Linked DNA regions of Sus scrofa. The protein of the gene in region 2 interacts with the protein of the main gene of each other region in a biochemical or structural test. Links are inferred from orthologs where the notes say so. Each region holds a gene or a part of one and is shown on either strand. Other genes may lie near its edges.

The links.
Region 1: the proteins of ARF1 (region 2) and CYTH2 are reported together in a solved structure, tested with the Homo sapiens proteins (3 studies listed by BioGRID and IntAct, with this or other methods). The link is inferred for Sus scrofa from reciprocal best matches to the Homo sapiens genes ARF1 and CYTH2.
Region 3: the proteins of ARF1 (region 2) and PLD2 form a complex in vitro, tested with the Homo sapiens proteins (2 studies listed by BioGRID). The link is inferred for Sus scrofa from reciprocal best matches to the Homo sapiens genes ARF1 and PLD2.
Region 4: of the proteins of ARF1 (region 2) and AGAP1, one has a biochemical effect on the other in vitro, tested with the Homo sapiens proteins (2 studies listed by BioGRID, with this or other methods). The link is inferred for Sus scrofa from reciprocal best matches to the Homo sapiens genes ARF1 and AGAP1.

What each region holds. Positions count from the first base shown.
Region 1 is NC_010448.4:53,874,945-53,879,979, forward strand, and holds the end of CYTH2 (cytohesin-2), read left to right. Parts: intron 1-196; coding exon 197-308; exon of another isoform or gene 309-2,764; intron 2,765-3,069; coding exon 3,070-3,146; intron 3,147-3,235; coding exon 3,236-3,307; intron 3,308-3,406; coding exon 3,407-3,561; intron 3,562-3,651; coding exon 3,652-3,739; 3' UTR 3,740-3,912; downstream 3,913-5,035. UniProt on the Homo sapiens protein: Acts as a guanine-nucleotide exchange factor (GEF). Promotes guanine-nucleotide exchange on ARF1, ARF3 and ARF6. Activates ARF factors through replacement of GDP with GTP.
Region 2 is NC_010444.4:51,233,756-51,238,272, reverse strand, and holds ARF1 (ADP-ribosylation factor 1), read right to left. Parts: upstream 2,719-4,517; 5' UTR 2,718-2,718; coding exon of another isoform or gene 2,681-2,717; coding exon 2,533-2,680; coding exon of another isoform or gene 2,455-2,532; coding exon 2,344-2,454; intron 2,240-2,343; coding exon 2,115-2,239; intron 1,958-2,114; coding exon 1,796-1,957; 3' UTR 1,762-1,795; downstream 1-1,761. UniProt on the Homo sapiens protein: Small GTPase involved in protein trafficking between different compartments. Modulates vesicle budding and uncoating within the Golgi complex. In its GTP-bound form, triggers the recruitment of coatomer proteins to the Golgi membrane.
Region 3 is NC_010454.4:52,077,182-52,082,484, reverse strand, and holds part of PLD2 (phospholipase D2), read left to right. Parts: intron 1-2,083; coding exon 2,084-2,167; intron 2,168-2,308; coding exon 2,309-2,387; intron 2,388-3,143; coding exon 3,144-3,254; intron 3,255-3,411; coding exon 3,412-3,582; intron 3,583-3,968; coding exon 3,969-4,095; intron 4,096-4,259; coding exon 4,260-4,378; intron 4,379-4,467; coding exon 4,468-4,581; intron 4,582-4,696; coding exon 4,697-4,801; intron 4,802-4,994; coding exon 4,995-5,083; intron 5,084-5,185; coding exon 5,186-5,299; intron 5,300-5,303.
Region 4 is NC_010457.5:135,987,045-135,992,347, forward strand, and holds part of AGAP1 (arf-GAP with GTPase, ANK repeat and PH domain-containing protein 1), read left to right. Parts: intron 1-1,216; coding exon 1,217-1,472; intron 1,473-4,714; coding exon 4,715-4,918; 3' UTR 4,919-5,303. UniProt on the Homo sapiens protein: GTPase-activating protein for ARF1 and, to a lesser extent, ARF5. Directly and specifically regulates the adapter protein 3 (AP-3)-dependent trafficking of proteins in the endosomal-lysosomal system.

The sequences.
Region 1 (5,035 bases), on a different chromosome or scaffold from region 2:
CTCTCCTCCTCGGAGCTCCCTCCAGTCTTCCGTCTTCTGCTTCCCTTTCATCCCCGGGCTCCTCTCCTGCTCCCTTTGGGGCTCTCCCACCCCAGGTCTCAGTGGTGCCCGGGCTGTTGGAGCCCCCACCCCCTGCCAGGTAGCCCCGGGCTGGTCCCCGGAGCCTGGAGTCACTGACTGCTCCTTGGCCTCTCAGAACCTCTACGACAGCATCCGAAATGAGCCGTTCAAGATTCCCGAGGACGACGGCAACGACCTGACTCACACCTTCTTCAACCCGGACCGGGAGGGCTGGCTCCTCAAGCTGGGTACGTCCCCTCCTGACTCTGCCTCTGCAGGGCGGGAGGCTGCTGGGCCCCGGGCTCTGGACTCAGCTTTCGCACCTGCCCACTGTGTGACCTTAGGCCAGTGATTTGACCTCTCTGAACCTCCAGTCTCCACACCCAAAAAGACGATCAGGCCTGCCGGGCACACGTTCAGGGCCCACTAACCCCTTCTGGCTGCCCGCCTATCCTTCAGGAAGCCCTCCCCTAGGCCAGGCCCTGTTCCAGCCCTGAGGGCACAGTCGAGATGCCAGCAGCATGGTCCCCCTCTGGAGGAGGGTTCGCTCACGATGCTCTCAGGGAGCAGAAAACAACCCAAGGGGCCAAGGCACCCAGGCGCCTCTTGGCTCACTTGGCGGGGAATCAGGTTCCAGGCTAGACCCACTGGGAGACCATCGAGTCTGCCCTCACCGTCTGCTGCCTCCTCATCAGCCCAGCAGCAAGGTGGCTGCTCCAGAGGTAGTGTACCTGCCCAGAACACGGCCCAGGAGTTGTCACCTTAGCTCAGCAGAAACAAATCTGACTGGTATCCATGAGGTTGCGTGTTTGATCCCTGACCTTGCTCAGTGGGTTAAGGATCCAGTGTTGCCATGAGCTGTGTGTGTAGGTCACAGACGAGGCTCAGATCTGGTGTTGCCGTGGCTGTGGTGTAGGCTGGCAGCTACACCTCCGATTAGATCCCTAGCTTGGGAACCTCCATATGCTGCAGGTTCGGCCTTAAGAAAAAAAAAAAAAAAAAAAAAGGCAGAACATTACCCACAGGAGGCAGAAAAGAGCCTGCAGAGGGAGGAAACCTGGGCAGCCTGCCCCCTGGACCTCTCAGCTGGCTGGATTGGTTCCTGGTGGGAAGGGGACTGCCCTGGCTGGCTCAGATGAACCCAGAACACCAGAATGGGGCAGATGGGGCGGGGGTCCATCCACCTTTAGAGAACGGGGCATCAGCAAGTTCAAGGTCACTTAGCAGAGGTCCTGTAGGTGCAGTTGTCTGAGGATTGGAGTGACTCTTAACCCTCGGCTGCCTGGAGATTCCCCCTGGGAGCTCTGAAAACCGCAGTAACCAGGTCACAGACCCGTGAAGTCAGGCTTCTGTGCAGGACAGGCCATCCGTCATGTCCAAAGCTCCCCAGGGGTTCCAGTGCTGGCCAAGGTTGAGAGCTGCTGGCTCGGAGCTGTGTCTGGTAATAGTTGGTCCCGCTGGGTTTTTAATAGGGAAGCGGAGAACAGCTGTTTCAGGGAGGCAGAGACTCTGGTGAGGAATTACCATCCAGTGCAGGCAGTGGAGACTGTGAGCCTGGACAGTGAGGGGGTGGAGCGGGGGGGGGGAGCAGAGGAAGCTTCCAGCCCCAAGCAGGGGATCAAAGCAGGGCTTTGCTCCCTTCAGGTCTCACCACCCACCCCTTTCAGCACCCTCTTCCCCCCAGCTGTGCTCTCAGATTGAGGAATCCCTTCTCTGGCAACGGGGGCATAAAGAATGCCAGTCACTCTTCCCAGGCCCCATGCTGGCTGATGATCTATCTGCATCAGCTCCAGAGAGGCTCACGGGTCCGAGGGGTCTGGGGCCAGTTTCGATTCTTCAAGGAAGGCCAAGTGGCGCCCCTGGTGGCGAGGGGGTGGAAAGAAAAGCAGGAGGGGCTGGTTCCCCTCCAGACCGCTCCTGTCAGCAGGAATCCTTCCCATTTCTTAGATGAGGAAATCGCAGCTCGGCCACTGTCCAGCGGCCCGCAGGGCAGAGGTGGCCTTAGATCCAGATCTCTGGCCAGGTCATCACAAGGTCATTAAAAAAAAAAAAAGCACCTCTTAAAACACTGAAATAGGAAAGGGACTCGGTGGTGGTGGTCATACCCACAAAGACGGTTAGTCAAAGTCGTTATTGCTGCTGTTTAATCCTTTGGGGACCACACGGAGCCCAGAAGCAGGTCACTTTGAAGCAGGAAGGTATGGCCTGGAGTGTGTCTCCACATTGGAGTCCAGAGAGGGCAAGTAGCTGTCCTAAGGTCACACAGCTGGTTTGTACTCCCCTGAATGTGAGTCCCCCACACCCACCCTGACCCAAGGACTGGGGAGTTTTGTCTTCAGCTTTGTGGGGATGACCTCCGGGTCGAGACCTCTTCACCTTGGCAGTGGAGGACCCCCCCCTTGGCCTCGGATGCATCCTGGGGATTAAGCCGATTGGCCTCAGTGCGGCTCCGGATCCTTGGCCTTCCTGGGAGGGAGGGGTCCGGCAGGGGTCCCCCCTCATGTGGATGTAACTGGTTTTCTTCCCTCTCTCTCCCTCCCTCCCTGCCTCCCTCCCTGCCTGTCTCTCTGCTGTTCCTGTCTCTCTCTGGGCCACCCCCTGCGCACCCCTTCCCTCGCCCACCCTGCGGCTCGCGGGGCACCCCCTTCCTCCGCCTTCCCTTCTCGCCTGGTCCTGCCTGCTTTCTCGCTGTCTGCCCCAGGAGGTAGGTACAAGGCCTGTCCCCGGCAGGACACAAGGGGAGGGGGCTGCCCATGTGAGGGGGGCTGGAGGCTCGGACTCCCGGGCCCCGGGTGGACGGACAGCCTTAGAGAGTGTAGAGGCCCACGCTGGGAGTGGGCCGGTTCCCCGGGGTCCCCCAACACGACACGCCTGTCCCTGCTTGTCTGTCTTCCCACGCTCTGTCCTAGGCCACCTTCCCGCTCGGCTCTGTCTCTCCCGCCCTCCCCGCCCTCCCAGAGGCCCCGTCCCCCCGTTGAGCCCAGGCCCCCTCCCCCCCTTCCCTTCCAGGGGGCCGGGTGAAGACGTGGAAGCGCCGCTGGTTTATCCTCACTGACAACTGCCTCTACTACTTTGAATACACTACGGTGAGGGCGGGGCCGGGGGCGGGGCCGGGGCGGGGCTTCCGGGGAGGCTCGGGAGGGAGGTCTGAGTCTGCTCACCCTCGTTGGGTCAGGACAAAGAGCCCCGAGGCATCATCCCGCTGGAGAATCTGAGCATCCGCGAAGTGGACGACCCCCGGAAACCAGTAAGACCCTCCCTGTCCCCGTCCCGCCGCCGCGGGGGAGCACCTCAGGCCCCAGGGCCGGCTCTTCCCCGCTGCCCTGCCTCTCCCGTGTCTCCCCAGAACTGCTTCGAGCTGTACATCCCCAACAACAAGGGGCAGCTAATCAAAGCCTGCAAGACGGAGGCAGATGGCCGGGTGGTCGAGGGCAACCACATGGTGTACCGGATCTCTGCCCCCACGCAGGAGGAGAAGGACGAGTGGATCAAGTCCATCCAGTGAGCCTGGGCCCCCAGAGACCTTGGGAGGGTTGGGGGGCTGCGCCCCGACGCCTCAGCCCTCACCCTGGGATCCCGCCCCTTCCCCAGGGCCGCCGTGAGCGTGGACCCCTTCTATGAGATGTTGGCAGCAAGGAAGAAGCGGATTTCTGTCAAGAAGAAGCAGGAGCAGCCCTGACCCCCTGCCCCCAACTCCATTATTTATTACGGAGCTGCCCCGCCCGGGTGGCCGGACCCCTGGGCCCCGGGGCTGCGGATCCTGGTTCCCCGTTTGGAAGATCCATCATCTCTAGCTCCTCTCTCGTTATTTGTAATTAACACGCCATTGGTAATATTAATTATTTAACCACTCGTGGCCTGCGGACCACCTCATTTCTCGGGGTTGATGGGGCTAAGGTGCTTGGCGGAGCTGGCCCGGCAGCTTTCATCTGTGCCCGGGGCCAGGAACGCTGATGGTTCGGTGGCTCTCACAGCAGGTGGGGAGAGGGTGCTGTGTAGCCCCACGGGGCCTCTCCAACCCCAGGATGGCTGGGTTTTGGTTGCGCGCTTAGCCTGCGGAGGTGGAGCGAAGACAGAAGTTGAACGTGGCTGGAGTGAGCGTGGAGTTAGAACCGCTGGGTGCTGAGCCCGCAGGTACGCTGGGCCGGGCGGGGGGACGAGGTCTGACGCTCATTCTCGGTGGCTCTTCAGAGCAAGGAGCCAGGCCGATGCGGTCCCACTGCTGCTCTCGCGGGCTTGTGGTCTTTGAGGAACGACGCGTGGTATCTGGTGGGCTGGGCTCGTGCTTTGGGGGAAACCAGAGCTGGAGGATTTCCAAAGAGGAGCTGCTCTGGGAGGTTGTGGGGAGGGTGAATCTGGAAAAAAGAAGAGAGAAGGCCTGGGGATTGGGGAAGGCTTGCTCGGAGGGCTGGGCAGGCGGTCAGCGGTGTCAGAAAGGGGTTGGGGCCAGTACAGACGTGGCAGGACTTTGGGGCCAGAAGGGCAGGGCTCTAGGCCAGTTGAACCCCATTTCTCAGGCACTAGAGGACCCTCCTTCGGAGGCCATTTTACAGCGGGCAGGGAGAGCGCTGAGAACCTGCGTTTTTCTACCATCTCCTTTCCCAGGAATCTGACAGCCTCCAGAAGTGTGAGGACTGCCTCCTTGGAGGGTAGGGTCCCCTGAGCCCCAGGTCCAGGCCTGTCCCCCGTTGCCTTCCAGTTTGGGGTATGCATGGTATCCCCAAAGAACAAAAGCACATGATCTTGAGAGGGGTGTTGGGAGACCCTGCGTCTCCCTCCTTCGTCCAGGTCTGCAGGTGAGGAGGCTTTGGTACAAGAAACCACAACTCCAGGCAGGCCCTGGACCAAGAAGCTGCTGGAAGGGAAGCTGTGGCGCCAGGGCATCCAGAACTGCAGTTACTCCCCGTGCTCTGTCCTCTGTTCCTGAGGGGTCGAACCCCTACTGTCAAGTGCTCCCAGTGGGGTGTGGAGGATC
Region 2 (4,517 bases):
TAGAATAAAGACAAAACCCAGGCTGGAGTCATTATTATGAGATTCTTATTTCTGATTTTAAAAGAAATGAGGGAATTCTGTCTTCAGAACGGACAACTGGTTTTCAACCTGTCAGACTATTATCTAGGTGGCCTGCCTCCTGGGGGAAGGACACCTGGGCTTTGGCCTGCCAATTGCCCCACCCAGTGTGCCAAGAAGGGCTCCAGGTCAAGAGGGAGGGGGTCTATGGCACAAAGCACCTAGCCAGGCACAATCATTGTAGTAGCAACATGGGAATGTGGCCGGGGGCACTTAGGAAGGGTGAAGGGCCTCCTCCATAAACCACCCCTGGCCCTAGCCTCTTGGGCATACCCCATGTGGTGACCCTGCTGTCCCTTAGAAGCTGGCATTGCAAAGACTGGGACCAAGGGCTGGACTGCCAACAATGAGGCAATGAGGAAGTCACCACAAGGGCACTGGGACATACCCACACCTGGCCACAGGGAAATGAAGATGGGAAGGAGTGGACAGAAAGGGAATGGAACAGGTCAGGGCAATGCTGGCCTCCCTAGGTGAAGACCAAGCTGCTGTCCCTGCCCACCTCTTAGGAGTCAGGCTGTCAATCAGGAGCACCCAAACATGGGAGAGCCACGAAATAGTTAAGAGATTTTATTCTAATAGCTGTAATTACAGTGCTTGTTTGTCGAAATGAAAACTGAAAACAAGTATACAAAACAGTTGATTACTAATCGTGTATTGAAAGCAGTAAGAGGTTCCACGACACCAAATAAACCAGTTCTGAGGTTTTCCCCAAGATAAAGTTTAACAGCTCCAGCTTCTTCAGTGTTTATCAAAATACAAAAGAAAAAAGTAGAGGTTATCATTTTCGATGGCAAATCTGACCCCTGCAGGCTAAGGGCGTGAAAGCACATGTAGACAGGGGCTCCAAGGGGCTGGGGCTCTAGGATGACCACCCATGCTCCTGCTGGTGAGACCCCAGAGAGCCCGGAGCAGGCAAGCAAGGGGACTGCAGGGCTCCCGCTCCAGCCAGAGTGTTCCAACCAAGGTGCCCATGTTGACTCAAGAAAAGGCTGGGGTTCCTCCAAGGGGTCTGGGAGCAGTGGCTGCAGCTCCAGTCCATCTCCTGGGCGGCCATGTGAGCACAAATACAAGCAAAAACGCAATGGGGTGTGGGATGACCCAAGACAGAGCCAATCAGAGGGATCCTATTGTGACCATGCAGAATGGATCATGGCTGGTTCTGCTCCATTTCATTTCATGTTCCCAATGGGAAACAGACCACCAGTGGACTGGACTCAGGTGATTACTGCAGAACCTACACTAGGCACATTTCTCCCTTCTGTGTGTTCAAGTGTTCTCCTTATCTTGTATTTGTAACTATTTTTAAAAAATGCACTGAGTTTGGGTTAAAAACCAACCACCAAAATGGATCTCAACACAGATCTAAAGCCCAGAGGAGGAGGATTGGGCCTGTCTGACACGTGACTTCTAGAGGACCCGTGTGCCTAAAATCCTTTCTCAGTACTAAACAGTGGGTTGATTTTCTTTTTACAATAAAAAAAGCTGAGTAATATTGCATAGGAGTACCAGAAACTGCCTCATTGGAAACAAAAACTATTTACATTAAATAAAAACCCAGTTGCAGGCTGCGTCTGCACATTTACAGCATGGTGAAGCACACTGTGACTGACCATGGAGACAGCTTCTGGCACTCACACCACAGGGGCACGTTTGCCACATGAGAGTAAAGCAAGGGTAGAAGAGGGAGTGAGAGGGGAGGAGAGAGGTGTACAGCTCACTTCTGGTTCCGGAGCTGATTGGACAGCCAGTCCAGTCCCTCATAGAGCCCATCACCACTGGTGGCACAGGTGGCCTGAATGTACCAGTTCCTGTGGCGCAGAGAGTGTAGGCCCAGCTTGTCGGTGATCTCGGCTGCATTCATGGCATTGGGAAGGTCCTGGTGGGAGAGGCAGCACAATAGGCATGGGTCAAGGAAACTGCATGGAACCCTTTCCACCCGTCCTGTTACTCCCTCATCAGACCCTCAGACCTGAGAGGCCAACCACCTGACATGTGCCCACCACCCAGCAACAGGGTAGCTCAGTCATGCATACCTGTTTGTTAGCAAACACAAGCAGAACAGCGTCCCTGAGCTCGTCTTCTGCCAGCATCCTCATGAGCTCCTCTCGGGCCTCATTCACACGCTCTCTGTCATTACTATCTACCACAAAGATGAGACCTGCAAAGGGAGGAGTGAGCATTAGTGTAGGCACCGAGGACATCCCCGACCTCTCCTACAGGCCATGGCCCTCCTTGAGGGGTACAACTGGGTTCCACCCTCACCCTGCGTGTTCTGGAAGTAGTGGCGCCACAGTGGCCGGATCTTGTCCTGGCCGCCCACGTCCCACACGGTGAAGCTGATGTTCTTGTACTCCACGGTTTCCACGTTGAAGCCTGGAGGAGTAAGACCCAAGGTGAGCATCTCCCTAGAGCCACTGCTACCCCTTAGCCTCCGAGGCCCGGCCTCCTCACCTATAGTGGGAATGGTGGTCACGATTTCACCCAGCTTCAGTTTGTACAGGATGGTGGTCTTTCCCGCAGCATCTAGACCCACCATGAGAATGCGCATTTCTTTCTTGCCAAAAAGGCCCTTGAAGAGGTTTGCAAAGATATTCCCCATGCTGTAGACTGGTGGGAGCAACACTGGCCAGAGAAACCTGTCGAAACAAGAAGCCCCTGGGTCTCTTTCTGTGCTGCCCAGGGTCAGCAGAACAGGAGCAGCTTGAGAGACCACCCCTACCCACTCACCCACAGGCAGACAGAGGCTCTGCTATCTCTCCTGGAAACTCAAGGCATAAGCCGATAAATAACCTGGTTTCCAAACAAGACAAACCCGTCCACCTGCTTCTTGAGCCCCCAAATTACCCTTAGAACGGAGAGTATGGGAATCTTAGAATAAGGATGACCGGAATTTGAAACAGCTGCTGCCATTATCTCCGGAAATGATGCCCAAGGTCACAGGGCAACTTACCTTTAAGACCTTCAACCTGCCACTGTGGGAGGTAATGTCCAACATGCATGAAGAGGTGTGGCTTTCAAATGAATGCTAGATTCTCCACCATCTAACAGAGCTCTTCAAGGAGCCAGAAACAACCACTGCCAGGTCCTACCATTCCTCCCAACTGCCCCAAGTCTCAGTGAAACACAGTCCATGTTAAGATGACCAAAGCACAAGGAGCTAGAAGGGCCCATGGCAGAGACCAAAAGCCAACCTTTATTAACATGCTGAGAGCTTAGCACATCCTGCAGGTAGGACCAGGGGGTGAAAACACTTGGGCTCTAGGGTAGCACATGAAGGCATGCAGTCCAAAGGTGAACTCACAGCAACGGTCCTGGAGAGCCTGTCAGGGGAAACTTTGCCGAAAGCTATGGTCAGTGCTATCCTTGAGAGAAGGCCTATTCCGTGTAGCAACATGCTCACACAAGAACATGTTCCTCCCAGGCTTTCCTTACCCAGTAGAGCAGAAACACTGGGATACCATCAAGCTGGCTAGGACACAAGGTCAGAGCCCAGCCAGCCCCAGACACCCAGATCTGCAGGAAGGCACAAGTGACCGTAATTTGTCATTTGTGGGAGAGTGCTGCTCATGGGAAGAGGAGATCTCCCATCCTGAAATGTCCCCAGGGCACCAAGGCTGCCTAGGCCTGGCCCCTCCACATTCAGCACTTTCACTCTTTAACAGTTTTAGTTGCAAACAAGAAGGGAGAAAGTTCAAATGCTGAAAGCTAAGGAATCTGGATTTTTAGCATCTAAGTGAAGCCACACTGTGGTAGCTTTCAACTGTAAAGAACTCTGTGTGAGTGTTGACAGAAAACCAAATGAACCAGAGAACTTGTTCCAAGCAGGTAGGGAGCTACTTGCACGTGGATCACTGAGAGGGTGTTGGTGGATGGAAGCCACTGTCAAGGCTAGGAAGGGGCTTTGCCCTACATTCCTAATCCCCCATCCCTGGAAGTAACCATGAGCTCCCAGTCTTTGGGCTTTGGATGGATGTTGCTGGGGTAACCAGGCATGCACCACTGTACTCCACCTGGGGGGTGTGCCCCAGATCCCCACTGTTCCATGTCACCTCTGATGACAGGCTCAGGTGGAGTTGCCAGATCTCCACTTAAGTTTGCCAAGTCTCCACTGTAAGATACTTTTTGCCTAGTCATCAGTGAGGACTGGGTGACTATGTACATGTCCTGCTCCTCATCCAACTTCCACCCTCTAGTTTCAGCACTCTGACATTTCCTGGCTGAATTACTGCTATGAAAACTGTCAAAACGGTGATTTTCTATTTAGTCATTCTCAAAGCTGTTAGTATTCTACTGCAAGGAACCACCATTCCCTTCTTTGTGTACTGATATGGCATGAACTCATGCATTCTAGTTTATTCAGTGGATCAGAACAACCACCCCAGTGGGTCTAAGTGTGCCCAGTAGAGCCCCTTCCAGCAGGCTTCAGTGCACTTGAT
Region 3 (5,303 bases), on a different chromosome or scaffold from region 2:
GTTTGTTTGTTTATGTGTTTGGACATGCCTGCGGCATGTAGAAATTCCCAGCTGGGGGATCGAACCCTTGCCGCAGCAGTAACCAGAGCCACAGCGTGACAATACCAGAGCCTTAACCTGCTGCACCACCGGGAACCAAGAGATTTATTTTTAAACATAAGAACTGATCATAGCTGGTACTCATGCAGCACTCAATATGAGCCAGAAACTGTTCTGAGGTTTTTATATTTGTGAACTTAATGAATCCTCACAACAACCCCAAGAGGAGGTACAGTTGTTATCACCCCTCTACAGATGAGAAAACTGAGGAGTCCTGTTGTGGCTTAGAGGGTTAAGAACTTGCCTGGTATCCAGGAGAACACAGGTTTGATCCCTGGCGTGGCTAAGTGGGCTGAGGATCCAGTGTTGTCAGGAACTGTGGTGTAGGTCACAAACTCGGGATGGATCTGGCTTTGTGGCGGTGTGGCTGTGGCCAGCAGCTGCAGCTCTGATTTGCCCCCTAGCCTGGGAACCTCCATATGCCATGGGTGCAGCCCTAAAAAGACAAAAGAGAAAAGAAAAAGAAAATATCGCTTATGTGGGTAATCTTAAAAAAGGACACAAGGAACCTCTTCGCAGAACAGATACTGACTCACGGACTTTGAAAAACTTATGGTTTCCAAATGAGACGGGTGGGGAGGGGGTGGGGGGGATGGAAATGCTATAAAATTGGATTGTGATGATCGCTGTACAACTATAAATGTAATCAAATTCATTGAGTTGGGAGTTCCCTTTGTGGCTCAGCGGTTAACAAATCTGACTAGGATCCATGAGGACTTGCTCAGTGGGTTAAGGATCAGGCATTGCCAAGGCTGTGGTGTAGCCCGGCGGCTACAACTCTGATTGGACCCCTAGCCTGGGATCTTCCATATGCCACGAGAGCAGCCCTAAAAAGCAAGAAAAAAAAATTCATTGAGTTAAAAAAATTTTTTAAAGAAAACTGAGCCAAGGGGGAGTTAAGTTAAGGTCACACACATTGTAACAGTGGAACCAGGATTAAAATCCAGACAATCTGGGTAAAGACCCTGCTCTTAACCAGCGTATGGGATTGTTAGTTCTTAAAAGTCAAACAATACAGAAACACATTAAGTGGAAAATTAAAATTCATTCCACAAGCCTTTACCCCCCCAGCAGTTACTTCTTCCCTACACCCCCTCCCAACAATCCCATTTCTCCCCAAAAGTAATCCTGGCAATAGTTTGATATTTGTTCTCTGAGATCTTCACTTGCATATTTCCGCATGCTCATGCATGCATGTTAGTTTTTGTTTTAACATAAATGAGATCATGTACTCTCTTCTGTTTTATTTTTTTCACTTAATGCATGTGTTAGAGATTAGGTATTTACATTATTTCTCACTTTCTCTCTTATAAATGATGCTGCACTGAACACAGTTTTTCTAAGTGTTTAATAGAATGTCTTCCTAGATATAGAATTACTAAGTACATTTAATGGTATTGGGGGCATGTGCATTTAATAGTCTGATAGGTAGTGCCAAATTGTTCTCTCAAAAGGGTATAAAACCAAAGTATAGTCTCACAGTCTGTGAGAGTGCTCACTTCCTCATATGCTAATATTGAATGTTAGCTGCAGTTTGAAATTTTGGAAATCTAGTGAATTTTAAAAGTGTTGTTTTATTTTAATATCAATTTCCTTGTTTGGTGATGAAATTGAACATCTTTTCCTATGATTGGCTATTTTAATTTCCCTGTGAACCGTCAGTTCTTATTCTTTGTCCAGTTGGCTTATATGTCTTTTCATTGTTGTTTTCTTGGAACTCTTTATATATGATGTATTAATTCTCCCAATCTTCAGTCATTTTCTTTAGTGTATTGTATCTGTTGTGATTTGTAATTTTATATTTAGCTCATACTGGCAAATCTATCCCACTTTGATAGATCTGATACCGTCTGACACCTCTCTGATCACTCTTGGTCTTTGACCCTGCTGTCACCTCTGACCCATGACTGTCCTCCGGTCTTCGCTCTCCAGAGCTTTCTGGCTTCTGACTCCTCTGACCTCCTTGGCTTGGCCTCCCCCCCAGGTTTGTGAATGGGGCAGGTTACTTTGCTGCTGTGGCTGATGCCATCCTGCGAGCTCAAGAAGAGATTTTCATCACAGACTGGTGGTGAGTGGGGGGAAAGCCCGAGCAAGCCGGGGTAGGATAGGGCCGGTGACAGATCCGCTCATGGGTCCGAAAAAGAGGGAAGGGGAGGAGTGACTATTGTTGGGAGCTTAGCTTGCCCTCACCCCCTGCCCTGAATCCCAGGTTGAGTCCTGAGATTTACCTGAAGCGTCCAGCCCATTCTGATGACTGGAGACTGGACATTATGCTCAAGAAGAAGGCGGTGAGGAGAGTGGTCAGGTTGGAGGGAAGGTGTGGTGAGGGGCTGCCTGTGGGTGGAGACTGATCAGAGGGGGTTGCACATGGGGAAGGTAGGGAATCTGAAACTTGAGGAGGCGGAAATGTGCCCATCCTGGCTCAGTGTCTGGCAGACACCATCTCTTCCTCTTCCCTAAGAGCAACTGACACCTCCCTGTTCTTGCCCCTCCTCTACCTGGTATAGACTTCCCTCCTGGTACCCAAACATCTATTGTGTTACCTGGGGGGGTACATGTCTGTCTCTCTCCCTGGGCTGATGGATATCACTAGCTCCAATCCAAGGCACAGTATGTCTGCTATGTTGCAGGCATCCATAGATGTTGACGGATGGGAGGAAGGATTCGCAGGTGATGGAGAGAGGATGGAAAGGGAGAGAGATGGAAGGATAAGAGGTTGGGACGGTGGATCAATAGCAGAGTAGGTGGCTAGATGGATGAATGATAGACGGTAGATAAGGGAGGAGTAAATTGTTGGGAAGATGGATGAAAATCATTCTAGGTAGCTGGGTGGATAGGTGGATGGACGAGTGGGTAAGCCGATGGATGGTATTCCATCGAAGTTGGCTGTAAGCATGACAGCAGGCTGTAAGGGGCAGGGCACTGAGGATCCCCAGGCGCCGTGGAAGAACATACAGGAATCCTGAGGGTGGGGAAGGGTTTGGGAGGGTGGACACCAGTCATTCCGAGAGGCATCAGGATCTGATTCCCTCACTGACCACCAGGAGGAGGGTGTCCAGGTATCCGTACTGCTGTTCAAGGAAGTGGAGTTGGCCTTGGGCATCAACAGTGGCTATAGCAAGAGGGCTCTGATGCTGCTGCACCCCAACATAAAGGTGACTCATGGCCCTCAGAGACCCCTCCCCTACAGCCCCCCCCGTCACACTTCCCCTCCCCTCAGTCTGCCCCTTCCCTGGATGGCTCATCCTTCCACTCTTCCTTCGCACACACCTCCTCTGCCTTCTTCCACCCCACCACCCATACCTGGTCTAGGTGATGCGCCACCCAGACCAGGTGACATTGTGGGCCCATCATGAGAAGCTCCTGGTGGTGGACCAAGTAGTGGCCTTCTTGGGGGGGCTGGACCTCGCCTATGGCCGCTGGGATGACCTACACTACAGACTGACCGACCTTGGGGACTCCTCGGAGTCAACTGCTCCCAAGGTAACCCCTCCAAGGCCTTCCTGGGCTCCCCCAGTCCCAGCTAACCCTAAACCTACACCCCACCCCTTCCTGGCTTCAGCCTTTCCCCTCAATCATTCCAAGCCCACTCTCAGGGTTCCTTGGCCTTTCTGGGACCCCCAAGCACCTGCTTTGCAGATACTATGACCCAGTCCCCTCCCCATTTCCAGCCACCCCCCCCCCCGTTCCTCTAGGGACTTCAAATGCAGCTGAAGGGGAGGGCCCGGGAATCAAAGCCTCTGCTTCCTTCTTACTCGCTGTGTCTCTCTGTCTCCCAGTCTTCCAGTGCTCCTTTCTTCTCTCTGGCCTGGCTCTGCATGGCCCCATGACTTCTCCCTGCCCTGGGCTTGGGTGTGTTCCCCCTACAGCCTCCCACCTCGAGCTCAGACTCTGCAGACACCCCAGACCTCTCCCATAACCAACTCTTCTGGCTGGGCAAGGACTACAGCAATCTTATCACTAAGGACTGGGTGCAGCTGGATCGGCCTTTTGAAGGTAGGGGTCCCTCTCCAAAGCCCCCGAGGGCTGGGACTGAGGATGGGCTGAGCTGGGTCCAGGGTAATGCAGCCTCCCCTCTGGTGAGCACCTCCTCCTCCCTGCCCCGAGTGTCCCCAAGAGACCATCCCTGGCCCCTCTGCTGACTCTCCCGGGACCCTCAGATTTCATTGACAGGGAGACCACACCCCGGATGCCATGGCGGGACGTCGGAGTGGTAGTCCATGGTCCACCTGCCCGGGACCTTGCCCGGCACTTTATCCAGCGCTGGAATTTCACCAAGGTGCTGGCTCCCTCCTGTGGGGGCGGAGGTTGGGAGGGAGCCAAAGGTAGCTTGTCACCTCCGCTGACCCTGCCATCCCTCCGCTGCAGACTACAAAGGCCAAGTACAAGACACCCATGTACCCCTACCTGCTGCCCAAGTCTATCAGCACCGCAAACCAGCTCCCTTTCGTGCTGCCGGGAGGGCAGTGCGCCACCGTGCAGGTGAGGCTCCGACTTCAGCCCGCTGCCCCAGCCCCCTCTCCCTGACCCGAGAGCCCCCCCGCAGAGCCCTCCTCTCCCGGGGTCACCCACCACGTCGTATTCCCCGTCCCCGCAGGTCTTGCGGTCGGTGGACCGCTGGTCAGCGGGCACTTTGGAGGCCTCCATCCTCAATGGCTACCTGCACACCATCAGGGAGAGCCAGCACTTCCTCTACATTGAGGTCTGACGGGGTGAGGGTGGGGCCGAGAACAGAGGGGACGTCCCAGGAGGGAGACTTAGACTGTCGGTGGGACCAGTCCTTGAGGAAGCCTGGGGCCGGGGGCCTGCAGCCTAGGCGTGGGAAAGGCAGCGGGGAGCGGAGGGCAGGCGCCAGGACCAGACTGCTGAGGTTCTCCCTTGGGTTCCTGCCCCAGAATCAGTTCTTCATTAGCTGCTCAGATGGGCGGACGGTTCTGAACAAGGTGGGCGATGAGATTGTGGACCGAATCCTAAAGGCGCACAAGTAAGGTGGAGCCTGGGGGTGGGCGTGGCCTACCCTGACAGGAGGGGTGGAGCTTGCGGGGAGGCGGGCACGGATCACAACTCTGACTCCACCCCTCCCCAGGCAGGGGCAGTGCTTCCGCGTCTACGTGCTTTTGCCCCTGCTCCCAGGGTTTGAGGGCGACATCTCCACAGGTGGTGGTAACTCCATCCAGGCCATTCTGCACTTTACCTACAGGTGA
Region 4 (5,303 bases), on a different chromosome or scaffold from region 2:
ACGCCTCGGCTTGCAGCAACGCCAGATCCTTAACCCACTGAGCGAGACCAGGGATCGAACCCACATCCTCATGGGTACTAGTTGGGTTCTTAACCCACTGAGCCACAGCGGGAACCCTATTCTCACCCTTCTGGAGATCCACCATTAGCAGCCGGAGAGTGAGAACAGAAGCCCGGGTCCTTTCCTTCCAGTCAGGTAGACACACCTTGCTGGGGGTTTTGCTTCCTTTCTTCAGCTCTCCTTCCCACCTGCCTGCTCCTCGATCCCCCAGCCCCCTTTCCAGATGTCTTTGGCAGCCTCCTGTCCTCTTTGGGCCCCAGAGGGGGGTCCTGGGCTGTGCTGTTGGAGGTGGGGCCCCAGCTGCCATCCTTACACCGAGGCTTCCCCGCGAATCCAGAGAGATCCCAGAATCCAGCAGCGTCACAGGCTTCGCTTGTTTGTCTTTTCCAAACTCCACGCTGGAGTCCCTGCCGGTTCCCACGTGGTCGGCAGCGACATTTCCTCCCACGGGGATGTTTATAGACCCTGGAGTTCACGCACACCCCTCCCGGGGGACGAGTTGAGAGCTCAGGCCTCGAGGGCACACCAGGTTGGGGAGCCCGCTGGCTAGCCTGCCCCTGGACTCCCGTCGAATGACCTCGAATCCTGGCTCTCAACTCTCTCAACTGGAGCTGCTCACAGCAGGAGGGACCGCCAGGCCTGTGGCATCTATCCTCAGTGGGCCGGGCCTTCCGGGGCCACTGCTGCACTAAAAGCCAAAGAAGGAGTTCCCAGGTGGCTCAACAGGTTAAGGATCTGGTGTTGTCACTGCTGTGGCATGGATTCAGCCCCTGGCTCAGGAACTTTCATGAAAAACAAAAGAGCTCATGTGAGAGCTGAAAAGCCGATCCATGGTTCTCACATGTTAGGGCATCAGGACACCCCCCGCCAGGGGTTCTGACTCGGGGTGGGGAGGCCCACTGGGACGGGGCCTGAGAATCCGCATCTCGAGCAGGTTCCCAGGTGGTGCTCCGGTGGAACCCACTTACCAGGTTTGAAAACCGCAGGAAAGCCCTTCCCGGGGGGCTTTCTGCTGCCGTGCACACACTTGTCTCCGGCTGTCCCACGTCCCCTGGTCGCCTCCGACCGCACACCACACAGGGCGGTAGCAGGGCAGGGGGTGCAGCCTCGGTTCTGCTGCCCTACAGTGACCTGGCCTGTCTGGTGGCTCTTGCAGGGAAGAGAAGGAGCGGTGGATCCGGGCCAAGTACGAGCAGAAGCTCTTCCTGGCCCCGCTGCCCTGCACGGAGCTGTCCCTGGGCCAGCACCTGCTGCGGGCCACCGCCGACGAGGACCTGCGGACAGTCATCTTGCTGCTGGCGCACGGCTCCCGGGACGAGGTGAACGAGACGTGCGGGGAAGGGGACGGCCGCACGGCGCTGCACCTGGCCTGCCGGAAGGGCAACGTGGTCCTGGCCCAGCTCCTCATCTGGGTAGGTCGCCCGCGCGCCCGGTGGGGCGGGAGTCACGGCGGGCACTTGGCGCTGCTCCCCGGGCATCTTTCTGGGGAGGAGAGGTTATTGTTGCCCACCTGGAAGTGGGAAGCCCTAGGAAGAGGGAATCGGTGATGTAGGTGTGGGGGCCCCTGCCTTTGGCTCCCCTGTGTGAGAGCAGGTGCAAAGCACCGAGAAAAGGGAGGAATGACGTTGGTGGCACACGCGCTGCTTCTGCGGGCACAGTGGCCGGCTTTGCACGGCATTTGCTAGTGTTTCTGCCACGTTCATTTTTGTGATGATCCCTTCAGCCAAAGCGTGGTTGGTGGTGTCCCTCTTGTTCCTTTTACGAAATACTCCCATCACCTTTGGGGGGCGGGGAGAGGATATGAACTGAATGATTTTGTATCGTTTCCCTTTCCCATTCCCAAACCTCGGGGCTTTGCTGTCACACAGCACAAAAATGCTGGACCCCACACTTTGAGGTTTGATGTGGTAGGAGGGTTGTCCAAGGGTTTCTCCTGGACTATCCTGGTTAATTCCACTTGGGGAAAGTTACCTTTTTAAATTTCTTTTTTTTTTTTTTTTTTTTCGTCTTTTGTCTTTTTAGGGCCGCACCTGCAGCATATGGAGGTTCCCAGGCTAGGGGTCGAATCAGAGCTGTTGCTGCCAGCCTATGCCACAGCCACAGCAACGCCAGATCCAAGCCATGTCTTCAACCTACACGACAGCTCATGGCAACGCCGGATCCTTAACCCACTGATCGAGGCCAGGGATCGAACCCACAACCTCATGGTTCCTAGTCGGATTTGTTTCCGCTGCACCACGATGGGAACTCCACCTTTTAAAATTCCTACTGGAGCATTTGCCATGCAGCCTGAAGGGGGAGAAGGAAGGAAGAGAGAGATTGTACTGGCCAGGAGCTGCTTCTGAGAGGCCCGCACACCCTGCCTGGCAGTGCCTGCATGCCTGTGGGGTCCTCTGCCACAGCAGGTCCCTATTCCAAAGGTGGCAGAACGAGTGGGTCCCTGGGTCACTGGATGGGGAGGGAGGTGCGTGCTCACCAGTGGTGGGACACCGTCCAGAGGGGGGGTCACCCACTGGGAGCTCTTCTGTCCCCACCCCCAGGGCAGGGGACGGGTCTGTCCACACAGCTGAGCACAATGCCAGTTTCCACGTACTTTGACCTGACTCTTGGGTTGGGTGGGATGAGAAATGGATGCACAGGTACCCGAATCACTCGTGGTCAGCATCTTGTTAGCAGTTGCACAGGCGTCTGCTGGGGCTGCCCTGACCAAATGCCACAGACGGGGCGGGGGCTTCAACAACAGAAATTTATTTTCTCCCAGTCCTGGAAGCCACTTCCAACATCAAGGTGAGGACAGGGTCTTTTTCCCATGGCCTCTCCCCTCCGCTTGCAGACAGCTGAGCTCTGGCTGCGTCCTCGCGGGGCCGGTCCTCTCTGAGCACACGCACAGAGTCTGGGGTCTCATCTTCTTAAAAGGACCTCGGTGACGTTGGATGAGCGCCCCTCTCATGTGGCCGCAATTAAGCTCATTACCTCTGTAATCCAGGCACGTCCTAAAGGACTGGGCGTTAGGGCTTCAGCAGATGAATTTAGGGAGCACAGTTCCACTGACAAGTCACATGTCATCTTCTCCTCTCACACTGGCCAAGCATTCCTTTAATGCTGTGCTTCTTGAAGACGAGAGATAAGAACTCCGTAAGTTACAGTGGAAGTGGACATCGAGCCACCCTTTTTCTTCCTTTCTTCCTTCTTTTTCAGGTCGTGCCCATGGTACGCAGAAGTTCCCGGGCCAGGGATCAAACCCGAGTCACCGCAATGACCAGAGCCACAGCCGTGACAACGCTGGATTCGTAACCTGCTGCGCCACCAGGGAACTCCCAATCCACCCTTTTCCAAGAGCAAGAAACTTTAAAATGCTTGTGGAGGAGTTCCCTGGTGGCTCAGTGGGTGAAGGATCTGGTGTTGTCATGGCTGTGGCTCAGGTCCCTGCCGTGGTGCTGGTTCGATCCCTGGCCCAGGAATTTCCACCTGCCACAGGTATGGCCAAAGGTAAATAAATAAATTTTTAAAAATAAGAGATAAAAAAGAAAACGTTTGTGTGATTGAACCTAGAAGTTCCCCCTCCGGTCATCACTTTAAGAGCCAGAGATGCTGAAAGAGTCCACATGAGGATAGACAGGTCAGCATGTGGCGCCCACAGACAGAGCACTGAGTGCTGTTGGTCCGGAGGAATACCCTGGTTCTTCTGCGTTGTGCTTTTGCGTAAATTTTAATGATAATGAGAAAATGATCAGTGCACCATGTTCGGTTAAAAAAAAAAAAAAAGATACAAATTGCTTGTGCCGCTCTTATCTCTGTTCTTCATATCTGCATTTAAGTCCAAAGAAAAACCGCTAGACGGAAACACACTGAAACGTGAGCCCAGATTATCTCTGAAGAGCCAGCGTGTAGCTGATTGTTTCTTCTTGTGCTTTTGTGTGTTACCTTGGTGTTTCACCCAGTGCAAATGAACCGCCTCCGAGATCCGTTTTTTTGTGTTTACAGCTGGCAGGTCACCATGGACTAGCAGTATGGTGACAAGGGACAGCTAGATTTATCATGGCGATCATTTTGAAATGTGTAGAAATATCAAATCACTGTGCCGTGTACCAGGAATTAACGTAGTGTCCTAGATCAATTATACTTTAAGAACGAGCAGGGAGTTCCCGCTGTGGCTCAGGGGAAACCATTCTATCCATAAGGACGCAGGTTCAATCCCTGGCCTCGCTCCCTGGTCGCGGGTCCGGCGTTGCCCGTGAGCTGTGCTGTAGGCGGGCAGCTGCAGCTCGGATCAGACCCCTAGCCTGGGAACCTCCATGTGCCGCGGGTGAGGCCCTAAAAAGACCAAAACAGCAATCGATCAAAATAAAACAAGCACCAAACGTGTAGAAAAGGAGGTCACAGGTCGACGGGGGTTAGGGGGAGGGACTTAGAGGAAGAGAGTCCAAAAATTTAAAAAACAAAATAGAAATAGCACAACCGGAGTTCTCCCGGGTGCGTGTCTGTTGCACAGGGGAGGGGCTTTTCGGCGCAAGAAGCGCACATTCTTCCCGTAAAGGACACCCCCGGGGCCAGGCCGTGCGGCCGCCCCTGGCCCCTGGTCTCCCCAGCGGGCTCCCGGCTAGCCCGGCCCTCGTGCGCCCGGTGACCCTCACGTGGCCGTGTCTCTCCGCAGTACGGGGTGGACGTGATGGCCCGCGACGCGCACGGGAACACGGCGCTGGCCTACGCGCGGCAGGCCTCCAGCCAGGAGTGCATCGACGTCCTGCTGCAGTACGGCTGCCCCGACGAACGCTTCGTGCTCATGGCCACCCCCAACCTGTCCAGGAAGAACAACAACCGGGGCAACAGCGGCGGGAGGGTCCCCACCATCATCTGAGGACCCGCGGCCTCCCCCCCGCCCCCCGCGGCCTCGGGAGTCACCGCACGTGAGTCCCGACGCGTCCCCTGGCTCCTCCCGGCGGACCCCCGCCACCCCCCCACCCCCACCCCCCACCCCCAGCGACATCACAAACCCCGGACGCTCCTGGGGGGCGCGGAGGCGGAGGCGGAGGCCCCGAGGCAGCAGCATGGATTCCTTTGCATAAACTCCCCTGCCGGACAGACAGGAGCGGCCGGCGGGCCTGGGTTCGTTGATTGCAGCACACGGCGCCGGACCCCGGTCCCTCCGGTGACCGGGAGACGGAGCAGGGCACAAGGGACTCGGGGACGAGGGGGGGAGGGGAGGGGAGGCGAGCAGCCGGGAGAAGGGGCAACTCCCCTTA